2 linked regions of the Ovis aries genome follow. The protein of the gene in region 2 purifies or fractionates together with the protein of the main gene of each other region. This does not show direct contact. Links are inferred from orthologs where the notes say so. Each region holds a gene or a part of one and is shown on either strand. Other genes may lie near its edges. The genes, in order: CAPZB and TWF1.

Region 1 (6,533 bases), on a different chromosome or scaffold from region 2:
AGTTACTCACGACAGCTTCCAACATAGCAGGAAATGATTGGGATGATAACATTTATAAGCAGGATTTCCATGAATGTGTTACGCAGGATACCTCAAGTAGAGCCAGTAAAGGTGAGCAAAGGTCCCATAACTCCAGAAAGGTGAGCCAGGATGTGAACAGAGTTGATTGATCCAAAAAGCCTACACTTTTTTCGTTCTGATCTGATTCTGTCTTGCAGTTTTAAGCTTTAGTACTATGCGTTTTTCACCCCTTTTTTCGCATAACCCCGAACAAAGAGGTGTTTAGGTGTTTCGAGCAATGAGCCTGCTGATGACAGGCTCTAGGCTTCTGTGTAATTTGCTCCGCAGCACAGTTGTGCTACATATTCCTATAGCATATCTACCACTTTCCACAAACCAGTGAGGTTGGCTTTAATGACACCCTGTGATCCGCATTTTTATATCAACATCATCCCCAGGTACTCAGAGGAGGGCAACTAAAATTATTATTTTCTGCAGGATCAACCTAAATGTTTAGCAGTCTGGTAAAAGATTTTGGGGACCATCCATAGAGGTACCTGACCCTTCCTTCTCCTTCTGACCCTCCCTTCCTATCTCAACCATTTCCGTCATAAACTGGGCTCCACACCTCTTCTTGTTGAATAATTGCATCTTCTTTCTCCCTGCAGTGGTGAGAGAGAAGGTGACCTAACCTCCACATCCTGGTTTCCACTTCTGGAAAATGAGTATGTGATGCCTTGTGCTGTTGTTATTGGGCTTGGCGTGCATGCTCAGTCGTGTCTGACTCTTTGCAACCCCAGGCTCCTAGTCCATGGAAGTCTTCAGGCAAGAATACTGGCATGGGTTACCACTTCCTACTCTAGGGCATCTTATTGACCCCAAGTCTTCTGAGTCTCCTGCACTGGCAGGCAAATTCTTTACCACTGAGCCCCCCGGGAAGTCCATAGGATACATGCCACATACAATTGTCATGAGATTTAGATAAGATAGGCAATAAGCTGGCGGCACGTGTGCCATTTGATCTGATGCACGATCCCTTCTCTGGCCCCCAACAGTCCTCACTGTTGTTACTGAATATGAAATGATTCATGGTATTTTGAAAACATACTTGCCGGCCCTGTTACATTGATCGTATGTTTTATATGTGGTTATGCCAGCCTTGTATATACTTTTTAAATATTTATGTGTTTGGCTGTACTGGGTCTTGGTTGTGGCACGCAGGATCTTTGATCTTTGTTGGGGCGTGCAGGATCTTTAGTTGCAGCGTATGAGATTTAGTTCCCTGACCAGGGATTGAACCAAGGCCTCCTGCATCGGGAGTGTGGAATCTTAGCCCCTGGACCACCAGGGAAGACCCAGCCTTGTACATCTCTGATGGTAAACTCTAAATAGGCGGAAAACCCATAGTTGCTTAATATTTATTGGCCCCAGGTACCGTACAGTTCATTATCTTCAACCACAACAAGAGATGGTTGAGCACTTTCTATCTTATGAGATTTATACAAGGACGTTCTTAGACTAAGAGTCTGTTTCTGCCCATAAAGTCCATCAGAGGTGATTTTAAAAGGCATGGCAGCTTATTCTTCTTTAAAATAGCTTTTTAAACATCTGACTACAGAATTACATGCTTATTGTAAAAATTATAGATACAACACCCAAACCAGAAAATTACCCAAGGAATAATCACGGCTCATCTTTTTAGAACCTATCTTTCTACCCTTTTTCCCTTCCATGTGCATACATGTTTCGCAAAAATGGGATCATATTGCATGCACATTTTTGTTACCTGCTTTTTTCCTATCTGAGAACACATCGTGAATGTATTACACGTTATTAAAGAGTCTCCTGTAGTGTGATTTGTAATTCTGGCTTAGTATCTATCGTATGGATAAATAGTGATTCTTTTAAAGCAATCCCCTCGTGTTGTATCGTTTGATTTTTTCCATTCTTCCACCACTATTAGCAATGAACACCTTTGTATGAATTTCTCTGCTCACATTCCTAATGATTTTCTCAGAACCCATGAATAGACATTTGCTTCACAGAAAGAGCACCCTGTCAAGGCTTTTCCTACCCATTGCCAAGTTTTCTATTAGAAAAGTCTTCTAAATTCACACTCCCACCAACAGCGTATGAGAATGCTATAATAAGGGCTGTTGGCCAAGATGATGATTATGAAAAAAAATAAATAATCAAGAAGATAAGTATTTGCTAAAGGCTGTCCCCGCGCCAGCTGTGTTTATTTGTTGAACGCTGTAGTCTTGTTCCTTGGAGCAAGCACTGAAGGTTCTTTAGACTTTCCGTTTATTTAGTGCCTCTTTCAGCACTCTGAGACTTTGACCCGAGTTTTATCTGAAGGAAAGATTTCTGGTAAATATAGTTTCCAGTTTGGAAACTCAGCCCAAGTACTTCCATCGCCCACCCCAGTGTGGACCACCTCTGTGGTTTTAACTGCTGGGAATCTGTCAGAAAGTACTGCTGTTGACTTGGAGCGGAGAACTGAAGTGCTTAGAAGAAATGAAAGAGTAGATCTGGGGTGAAAAAGTCATGTTTCAAGTTACAAAGGGAAACCAATAACCACCCAAGGGGTTGGCGTTTCACTTGACCCGCTCTGATATCACTATGGTGATGTTCTCCATAAACAGTTGCATAAGAGCAAGATGAAAAAGAACGAGCAAGTTCCATCCAGGAGGTCTGGAGTTATTTTAGGGATCAAGGCAGTGTCATCTGGGGTAAATATGGAATGCAACGTCTGTTCTTTTAATAATCATCCCCTTCTTTTGTGAGGCTGAAGGAAGGCCTGGGACATCAGACATTTGGGCCGAAAGCAGCGCTGACCTAGTGCCTTCAGGGCTCGGGAGAAAACTCGGCCAAAGGAATGGAAATAACGGTTCATAACAGATGCTGGAACGATTCCTCTCACACCCCTGGCCTCTGAGACTCTCCTGAGCCTGATGTGGAGTCCAAGGGTGGAACAAGGGTGATGTTCTCGGGATGGGCTGGCCCGGTAGAGAGGCAGAGAGGGGGTCCCCAGGGAGCTGAGCTTAGCTGTCTGCCCCGACCTTGATTCCTGGGCCAGAGGGGGTGGAGGACACAGCCTGTCTCTGGGGCATCACCATCTGCTGTGGATGACATCGGCCACTCCCACCCTCATGGTCTTCTCTTTGAACCCCTGACTCAGCGAGCCTCAGTCCAAAAAGCAGAACTAGCTATTTTTGCATCAAAAAAAAAAAAGAAAAAAGTCAGGCAATACACTTGCTGAACTCCTTCCTGACCCTGAAACTCTTACTCTTTGCACTTAACCCCTTGTTCTTCCCTTGTTCTCTTTGCTCTCTTCTCAGCTGTTAGATTGCGAGGTGGTGTCACTATTGGTAAAGAACCCGCCTGCCAATGCAGGAGACTTAAGAGACCTGGGTTCAATTCCTGGGTCGGGAAGATCCCCCTGGAGAAGGAAATGGCAACCCACTCCAGTGTTCTTGCCAGGAGAATCCCCATGGACAGAGGAGCCTGGTGGGTTATGATGGAGTTGCAGAGTCAGACATGACTGAAGCGACTTAGCATGCATGTACTCGTATTTGGGGGGCTTCCGTCGGGGCTCAGCGGGTAAAGAACCTGCCTGCCAATGCAGGAGACATGGGTTTTGATCCCTGGATCTGGAAGATTCGCTGGAGAAGGAAATGGAACCCACTCCAGTATTCTTGCCTCGGGAAATCCCATGGACAGAGAAATCTGATGGGCTACAGTCCATGGGGTTGCAAAAGAGTCCGTCCTGACCTACTGGCTAAACACCGCGGCCACCACCCTCATCCTTAGCGAAGATCTTCAGAGGAAAGGGCTGTTCTGTGGTCGTGGAGGCTGGCACACAAAAGGTTCTCCCTAAGAGTCAGCTGATGGCACGTGAATCCAAAACCCCGTGCCTACCCTGATGTGGAGGTTTCTGAAATGATGGCTGTTTGTTTATTCACTTGTTCAACCAATGTTCATTCAGCACCTCCTGAGAAGCCGAACTTCTGCTGGGGACCGGCGCTACAGGGACCAAAAAGACCCCAGGGCTCTGTTCTTATGGAGATGATGCTCTTGTAGACCTCAGTATCTGAGTGGTGAACACAGCTGTCATCACAGAGCCTTCTCTGGCCATTGGATATAAAATCCCCCTTCCCTGTTTTATTCTGCTTCCCAGAACTTAGCATCACAAGGCATAATATATACTTGTTTGTGTGGAGTGGGTTTTTTTTTGGCTGTGCCATGGAGCTGGTGGGAGCTCCCTGAACAGGGATGGAACCCTGCCCCCTCCCGACCACCAGACCAGCCGGGAAGTCCCTACTTGTCTGTTTTGGTCAGCCTTGCACACAAAAAGGAGTGCTCTTTGAGGGCCATTTGTCCATGGCGTTCACTGCTGAGTCCCTATAACGATGGCTAGCACGCAGTAGGCACTCGACATATATATTTCAAATCAGTTTGTTCAATGTACTCTGCAACTCTCTAGAAGACCTTTGCAGCAAAACTCTCCAGGGAGCGCGTTAAGAAGAGCCCCAGGACTTCCCTGGCGGTCTGGTGGTTAAGATTCTGTGCTTTCAAAGCAGGGGGCGTAGGTTCAACTTCCCTCAGTCAGTCGGGAAAAGAAGATCCCACGTGCTGCCCAGCATGGCCAAAAAAAAAAAAAGAAAGAACTCCAGAGGGTCAGCACGACAGATTACGACCATCCAGAGCTTTACGGAGTGCAAAGCAGGGAGGTGCGCTGGGCTGAGCACGAACCCTCATCTCTCAGGGGTCTGGTTTACTCCTTGTAAAGTGGACATAACGTTGCCGGCCTTCGGGGACCATTTGTCCACTGGAAAAGGGAATGGGTGTGAACCGCCCCGCCCCACCCCCCGGGACCTGGCGCTTCACGCTTGAAGGCTGAGCACTGCGGTTTCTTTATTACTGGAGCTTCTCAATTTCATGTGGACTTTATTACTATCATCCCTGTTTTAACCCACAAGGAAAACCCAGCTCACAGGGTCTTAGGAGTTTGCTCACACAGGCTCAGGCAGGACCAGAGCACCCCAGAGGGACAGAACCCCGCGCACAGCGCCTCGCCTGTGGCCGCAGGGCAGCCGGCTCTGGCAGCGTCGCCTCCTGCGCGCCCTCCTCTCTGCTCCTCCGCCTCCGTTTGCCATTCCTCGTTCTCAGTGCGCCACCCCACCCACCGCTGTGGGAAAAGGAGAGCTGTGGAGAGAAGCAAGCCAAAGGGGAAGTTTGTGCAGTTGGTTAGGAAGCGAAAGTCGCTCAGTCGTGTCCGATTCTTTGCAACCCCGTGGACTATGCAGTCCATGGAATTCTCCAGGCCAGAATCCTGGAGTGGGTAACCTGTCTCTTCTCCAGGGGATCTTCCCAACCCACCGATCGAACCCGGGTCTCCCGCGTTGCAGGTGGACTTTTTACCAGCTGTGCTATCAGGGAAGCCTAGTTCGTTAGTAGGTGAAAGGCAAATCCTCCTCGGCCCTCACCTTCCCACCCATTCTGCCGCTTCCCTCGGTGTTCCCCCCGCCCCCATTTCTAAGCTTTAGGATTCCTCTGCCTCCCAGCATCTAAGTTGATGGGGATTCTGGTTCAATCAGGTGGGATGGGCCATGAGACTCATTAGCATAAATCAGGATATTTCTTGCAATTGAGAGGTACTCAGATTAGAAACACTACTAGAAACTCAACTTTCTAAAACTGATTATAATTTTACAGGGACGTCCCTGGCAGCTCAGTGGTTAAGACTCTGTGCTCCCAATGCTGGGGTTGCGGGTTCAATCCCTGCTCCGGGAATTAAGGTCCCACAAGCCACACAGCCAAAACAATAAAAATAAATAAGGTAACAATAAGGATAATAGTTTGAAACATAAAAATAGTTATAACTTTAAAATATTTATAATAGTGTTATAATTCATGAGCTTCTTCTTGGTTCCAGACAGTGTCGGTGGAAATTTACAAATACCTGATGACAACCAAAAAAGGCAGATATTATTATTCCCATTTTATAGATGAAAAAAATTGAAGCTCAAGGATGAAGGATCTCCTCAGAGGTTAGGTAGCTACTAAGTGATGAAGGCCCGAGATTTAAATCCAGGTCTGTCTATATTTAAATCTCCTTCTGCTACACAAAAATAAAAAGATTCAGAGGGGTGGAGTTAATGTGCCTTAGAACATCTGTCCCAGCAACCCTCTGAAGAAAATTGAAAATATCCTAAAGAAATGCAAGTCAGTAGATGGCTATATGAATTATATATAGGGATTATAGCCAGTAAAATATTTTTCAATCATTAAAAATTATATATATATTATATATAGAATCTTACGCTAAATGAAAAATGTATGATATAAATGTATCTCCATGGAGATTATAATTGAAAATGTCTGTCTACTACATAAACATGCCTGTGAATTATAAACAAACCTACGCAAAAGACTGAAAGGAAATATATAAATAGGATCACAATTCTGTAGTGGAATTTGAAAGGATTTTCCTGACTTCTGGTTACTAATCTTTCTGCGATGTGTTAAGT
Region 2 (6,784 bases):
TATTCACATCAATATATGAAAAGGACCTTGGCTGTAACAATACAATATATAGGAATATATAATAAAATATTAGTATATACAAAAATATAATATAAAGTAGTATTAAAAAGTAAAAATTATGACCAGGACAGGTAAAATAATGTTATGAAAAACACAAGAAAGGAACATACAAAAATGATTATAAATAGCTGAGTTTGATGGTTGAAGAAACGGTAGTTATAGTCTATTTTCCAAATGTTTGTTATAAAGTATCAACAAAATGTATTTAAGCATCCAACCACTCAAAGGTGGAATTTCTGAAATTAACATTGAATTGCACGGTTAAGAAATACTAAATAAAAACAGGTTTAGCTCCTACTTGGCCATACTATTACAAATTTAAAAATCTGTCCACAAGCATAAATTGGTACAGTCACCTTGAGACATTATTGGGAGAATCAAGACTGTATTCTGCATAGAGAAACTCTTGCACATATATACAAAGGTATTCACTGCAGCACCATAAAATAACAGTGGAAACTGAAAATAGCCCACATGTTCATCAATAAGAGAAGGGACATAAAATACGTGGCAGTCATGATAAAATTCTATTCATATTTAAAAAGAATTAATGAGCCTCTATCAAAGGGGCTTCCCTGGTGGCTCAGAGGTTAAAGCGTCTGGGTCGGGAAGATCCCCTGGAGAAGGAAATGGCAATCCACTCCAGTATTCTTGCCTGGAGAATCCCATGGACGGAGAAGCCTAATACGTTACAGTCCATGGGATCGCAGAGAGTCGGACACGACTGAGCGACTTCACCTCACCTCAGCTCACCTCACCTCACCTCACCTCTATCAAAACTAATTATAAAAATATTTACAGAAAAAGGAATGGTGCAGAAAAAGACATCAGTTCATATGAACTTAAAAACTCAAAAACAGCACTACATGTTATTTAGGGATTGCACATGCAGAAAAAGTTCCTAATATAGTTTCCTCAGGAGAAGGTTGGAAAGTACAGTTGTTTAAACATCAAATTACAAAGGTTTGAAGCAAATTGAAAAAATGTTCGCAGTTATTAATTTAAGAAGGGATGGAAGTATTTGTCATTTATTCTTCATAATTTCCTTATTTAAAATTTTTTCTTAAAACAAAAAACAGGATAAGTGACAGACAAAATAGTGATTTTTCTGTTGTAGAGATGTGAGTTATACCAACTTTTCCCTTTTACTTACCTAACTAAGTCAATTAGAAAGTGATAACACTTAAAATTTTAGTTCAATAGTTCTAAAACAGGCTACTTTACAGTATATGTTTATTCTCATTGAGTGTGTTAACATATGTAGAACTGCATATTTTTCAAATTATTTTAGTATTTTTAACATATAAGAGAAACTGGAAACCAAATTAGATTTACTTCCAGTTTATGAAAGAACAAGATATTTTTCCAAAGCAAAATATTTCAAGGTAATTAAGAAATTAGGCCAATGGGATGTTTTAACATATTCATTTGAGATTAAGTAATTATAATTTAATTATTCACACTCAAACCAGCCAAATTAAAAGACTCTCCCACCCAATTAATTTCCCTGCTTTCAGCTTTATTTTGAAAGGCTCAATTTACAGTTTATTATATTCTCAGAACTGTTTCCCATAACAAGAAAAGGGAATCATTTCTCAGCAAACATTACAATCAAGTTGAGAAAACAGGCAGTTTAAAACCCTTTCCTTCTACTTCAAACTAACTTTATTGAAAAATAATTCACAAATAACTGTTTATTTTTCAGATAATCGCCTGTTACTGATTTTCATTCCAGAGATGCAAGCACTGACATTAGATACAGATTGCATTACAGAAACTGAGACTCAAAAAAGTGAAAGAGAAAGATGTCACACCAAAACCAACATCTTTTTGTTTCCCTGATAGTCAACTACAGAATTCAGAAGGTAAGCAAGGGCCTTTAGGAAATGCCCAAAATATAGAGGATACAGGTTAACTAAAGGCAAGCTTTCAACCGGCTTCACATTTATTAATAGTCCAAATCACTGACAATGACTTAGCTTTACATAACACCCAGTAATTCAAGAACAAAAAATGTTTAACTAACCATTTTCAATAGATATCTTCAGAAGTCTGTATTTTCCATTTCTTGCTCTGGCAAAGATATCTTTAACGTCTTCACTTGCTGTGCAAAAAGATACAGAAAAGTAATATTTATGCATTAATACTTTCTAATGCTACAATAACAATGCAATTGAATAAGGAAAACATGAAATATAATACAAAGAAAAAATCTTGAGTATGCAATATTTTCTTATTAAAAGTCATTTAAATTATAAAACTTAAAAGGTATACCAGACACTGAAAACGGCTTTTGCTGTTGTTGTTGTTCAGTTGCTAAGTCATGCATGTTCAACTCTTCTGTGATTCCCTGTACCGTAGCCCGCCAGGCACCATACCAGAGCGGGTTGCCATTCCCTTCTCCAGGGAATCTTTCCCAACCAGGGATCAAACCTGCATCTCCGGCACTGGCAGGTCGGTTCTTTACCACTGAGCCACCAGGGAAGCCCCATACACAGCTAAGAGACATAAGTATGTTTTAAAAGTATATTAATTCTAACCTGTCCTAGCTACATTAGAATTGGGAATGAATATATTAAAGTTTCTCAAACCCAATAATGAACAAATTACACATCTGAGAAATACCTTTACTGATTTTGAAAATGCTGAGAATCTGCTTTCATTCTCTTCTGGTCTAATTTCAAGTTTACGATAAATAAAAACACTCTCTTCATCAATTCATTTTATACATTTTCATATTTAAAGATGACAATAAACGTCAAATGCCCTATCCTGACTGAAGTCAATAAAATTCCTTCAAGTTTATACTTCTGGTCACACTTTTCTGACTAGTATTTCTCAAAAAGCTGGAGTAATCTCACTGAGCAAATGTATACTTAATAACCTACCCCTTGCGCTATGAAAACTTCAATTTCGTTCTGATTTTGTTCTTGGGGTGTATATTGACAGCAAGAACCACTTTTAATAGTGCTTGTTATTAGACTCAAGCATCAAAGTCAATAATTAGATATCCATGCATCAAAACTAACGCAAACAAAAGAGTGCTTTCAGATTCGAGACTATTTTGCTTTTCTTTGTGTGTGCAGGAGGAGGTATGGGGTGGTGTCAAAGACTTATGAACAAAACACAATTAGATGTTCATCTGGGGAAAAGATTCGTTGTCTATTAACAGGAAGATCTTGTGTTTATACTAGAACTCGTTAAGTGATCGCGAGTAACCCCGGGACATATTATTTGATTCTGATGAGGTGAGAGCTTTCAGACTGCCCATTCGCAAACCAGGAAATAACACAGGTCAATTAAAATTGCACATTCAACTGCCTGAATGGGATAATTATACGATGCCACACAGATCAGACTTTTCAGTTCCCCGTGGAGTACCTAAGAACGACCAAGACGCCTCCTACTTAGGATACATACAACGGTGCTGATGTTCCCATTTTGGAAGAAAGCGCGGAAGAGTTTGGGAAGCATTCTTAGTAGAAATGGAAAAGATTCCGCATCTTTCTTTTTATAATTCAAATAATATAACAACTCTTCTGGACCGTGAAAAAGAAAATTCGCCTGTCTCTTGACAATAAAAGGACCCCGATCGCCTTCACGTCTCCAAGTCTTCCCAACCGGTTAAAGTTGGGTTAAGGTCGGCTGCGGCTGCAGGCACGCCCCCTTCACCCCGGCCGCCGCCGGACCCACTTCCTTCGCTCCGGCGAATTTCGGGTCCGTCCGCAACGTGGCGGCGGCCGGGCCCGGGAAGGGAGGGAGGCAGGCCGAGAGCGCCCGGGACACGGGAGCGCAGAGAGACTCAGAGGCCCGGCTCGCCCCGACACACATTCCCAGTGCTTCGGGCCCGACTCCGGCCCCGCCCGGCCTGCCCGGGGCCTCCGGGGAGCCCCTTCCCCAAGGGCAGCGCCGGCGCCGTTACCTTGGATGCCGGTCTGGTGGGACATGGCGGCAGCCGCGAGCTCCCGGCTCCAGCGCTGAGTGCAGCGAGCGGCCCCGGCGGCTCCAGGAAGTGGCCGCTCCTCCGCCGGCCCCGGCGCGTCATCGGCCTGCGACCCACCGCCGCCCCGCCCCGCTAGGCCCCCGGCGTCCTCGCGCGCCCCCAGCGCTCCCGCCGCCTCTGGTCACCCGGACTGTCTCCCAGCTGCGGGACTGCCTCCCAGCTGCGGGACTGCAGGTCCACACCTTCGGCCCTCAACTCCAGCTACTCCAGCTTTCTGCCTAGGGTCACTGTCCCCGGTGTTTGCCGCCGCTTCTCCGGCTCCACCACCGTGAAGCACCACAGGGCTGGCAAGATAGCTTTCCCTTCTGGGGTCTGCCCTGCCAACGCCTTTCACTGGTTCAGCAAAAGGATGCTCAAAAACGGAAACGAACATTTTACTGAACACAAGTTTTCAGCTTTAAAAAGATGTGCAAGATATCCTTCTTGGTTTACTCTTCTGCTGTGTGTACAATTTAATGTAAAGGGTCCCGCTCCTCCCGATTTTTTAAAAAGGATAGGCAGTTTCCCATCAAAATTTGAAAGGCTTTTAAATTAATTTCAGACTTAAACCTTTTCTTTCTTTAGTTGGGCCCATTTAGAGACAAGGTTTTCCTTTCTCCTCATTCCAAAAAGAAACAGCCACTGAAAGTAAAATTAGCTGATTTGAGTACTCCTCTGTGGTCAGTTCCATCATTCCAAACTAACGCTGCTCTGCTTTCTATTGGTCCTTTAGTCTTAAATCAGGTAATTATTCAAGATTCATTTGTGAGGATAAAGTTGTAGCATATTATTAAAAACTATTTTCCATTCTGTGCTTTTATGAGCATGTGTTTCCATTTCTAAGGATAATTTATTTATTGTCTAAATTTCTGGCTGCACTGGGTCTTTGTTGCTGCCCATGGGCTTTCTCTAACTGTGTGTGTGTGTTGGGGGGGACCCTACGAGTAGCTTAGTTGGGGTGCACAGCCTTCTCATTGTGGTGGCTTCTCTTGCTGCGAAGCACAGGCTTTAAGGCGCATGGGCTTCAGTAGTTGCAGCATGCGTGCTCTAGGGTGCTCAGGCTCCAGTAGTTGTGGCTCGTGGGCTCTAGAGTGTGAGCTCAGTAGATGTGCTGTGCAGGCTATAGTTGCCCACAGTATGCAGAACCTTCCTGGACAGGGATCGAACCCCTTTCACCAGCATTGGCAGGCAGGTTCTTCTCCATTGAACCACCAGGGAAATCCCTCTAAGGATAATCTTGGTAGTTATTTTTGTACTACTTTTCTAGAACTCCTGGATTATAATTTTCTAGGTAGAAAGCTTGGTGTTTTGTTTTTAGGGCCTTGAACTGACAAGTATAAAAATGTACAATCTGATTATCAACAAATACTTTGTACAGACCAATAATTTAAGGACAAGTTAACAAAATCACTTTTGAAATGTGACATATTTTTAATTAGCAGGTAGGTAATTGCTTTTCTTAATGGGGTTCACAGCAAAAAAAAAAAAAAAGATTGCTGTTTTCTGTTCCTTGTTTTTTAGGCTCTATTTCTCAAACACATCTTCATATTTTGGAATAACCAAAATTTAATCTGAGCTTTATAACTTGTTTGGATTTAAGAGACGTAAGGAGGAGTTCCATTCTAACCAAATTCTTCCTGACACGACAGTTCACCCTGATTTACCAGTTTTCACAGCATTGTTGAGCACAGAGAGTGCCTCTGCAATTTGTTGACTGACTCATGTTCTGGTGAGTAGGGAAAATTGCTTAAGGAGGTTGACATTACTCAAATGTACAGATGAGAAAAATTAATTTTCCCATGTTGATCCTTAGAAAAGATCCCTGTATATTCAGCCCTGAAGAGGAGGAAAGTCCAGGTAGGTTGGATAAGACCACCACAGCATCTGCCAGATAATGCTTTTTTTTCTGCCAGTACAGTAGTTTGAGTTAAAACTGCAAGGGACTTGTCTGCATTGTTTATGAAACAACAAAATTCCTCTAGCAAAACAGGAAATCTGAGGAGGGAAGATGTTTGTTAAGATGTGAACAGCGTGGCCAAAATGTTTTGTTTTTTTAACTGTCCATCAGCATTTCTACATGTAGTCAGATAATTTCCTTAGCAAATGGATTCTTGATGCCTTCATTGGATGTTGTTTTATGAAAATGTTTCTGGTCAATATTGACAGTACACTTAAATTTCATAATTTGTTATGTCTGATGTTCATTTCAGGTTAGGTTATTGTACTAACTTTAGAAAAACGGTTTATTGAGTATGTAGAGTGCTAGTGGTTCTTGTATTTTACCTATTTAAGAGACTAGATTATGATAGAAATCTTGTTTGTTTGGTTAATCTCTCTTGCTTGCATCTTTAATGTGATACCAATTACATGACTTCTCACCTTATCTTTTTTAAAAAATCGTGATAAAATACACATAAAATTTACCATCTTAACGATTTTTAAATGTTCGATTCAGTCATGTTAAATACAATCGCCTGTTATGCAACCAATCACCAAAATTCTTTGCCTGTTGCAAAATTAAAACTTAATATCAACATTAAATAACTTTCCATTCCAACTCAACCTCTAGGCCCTGGCTAATATCATTCTATGTCTGTCTCTATGAGTTTGACTATTCTTAGTACCTCATATAATTGGACTCATACAGTAGCTGTCTTTTTGCGATTGGCTTATTTCACTTACCAAACTGTCCTCAAGTTTCATCCACGTGTAGCATGTAGAATTCCTTCCTTTTAAAGGCTA

Evidence for each region.
Region 1: the proteins of TWF1 (region 2) and CAPZB purify together in Homo sapiens (affinity purification with mass spectrometry; 3 studies listed by BioGRID and IntAct, with this or other methods). This does not show direct contact. The link is inferred for Ovis aries from reciprocal best matches to the Homo sapiens genes TWF1 and CAPZB.

The regions. Positions count from the first base shown.
Region 1 is NC_056055.1:246,875,981-246,882,513, reverse strand, and holds the start of CAPZB (F-actin-capping protein subunit beta), read right to left. Parts: upstream 4,355-6,533; 5' UTR 1-4,354. UniProt on the Homo sapiens protein: F-actin-capping proteins bind in a Ca(2+)-independent manner to the fast growing ends of actin filaments (barbed end) thereby blocking the exchange of subunits at these ends.
Region 2 is NC_056056.1:142,935,188-142,941,971, reverse strand, and holds the start of TWF1 (twinfilin-1), read right to left. Parts: upstream 4,046-6,784; 5' UTR 4,008-4,045; coding exon 3,983-4,007; intron 2,165-3,982; coding exon 2,087-2,164; intron 1-2,086. UniProt on the Homo sapiens protein: Actin-binding protein involved in motile and morphological processes. Inhibits actin polymerization, likely by sequestering G-actin. By capping the barbed ends of filaments, it also regulates motility.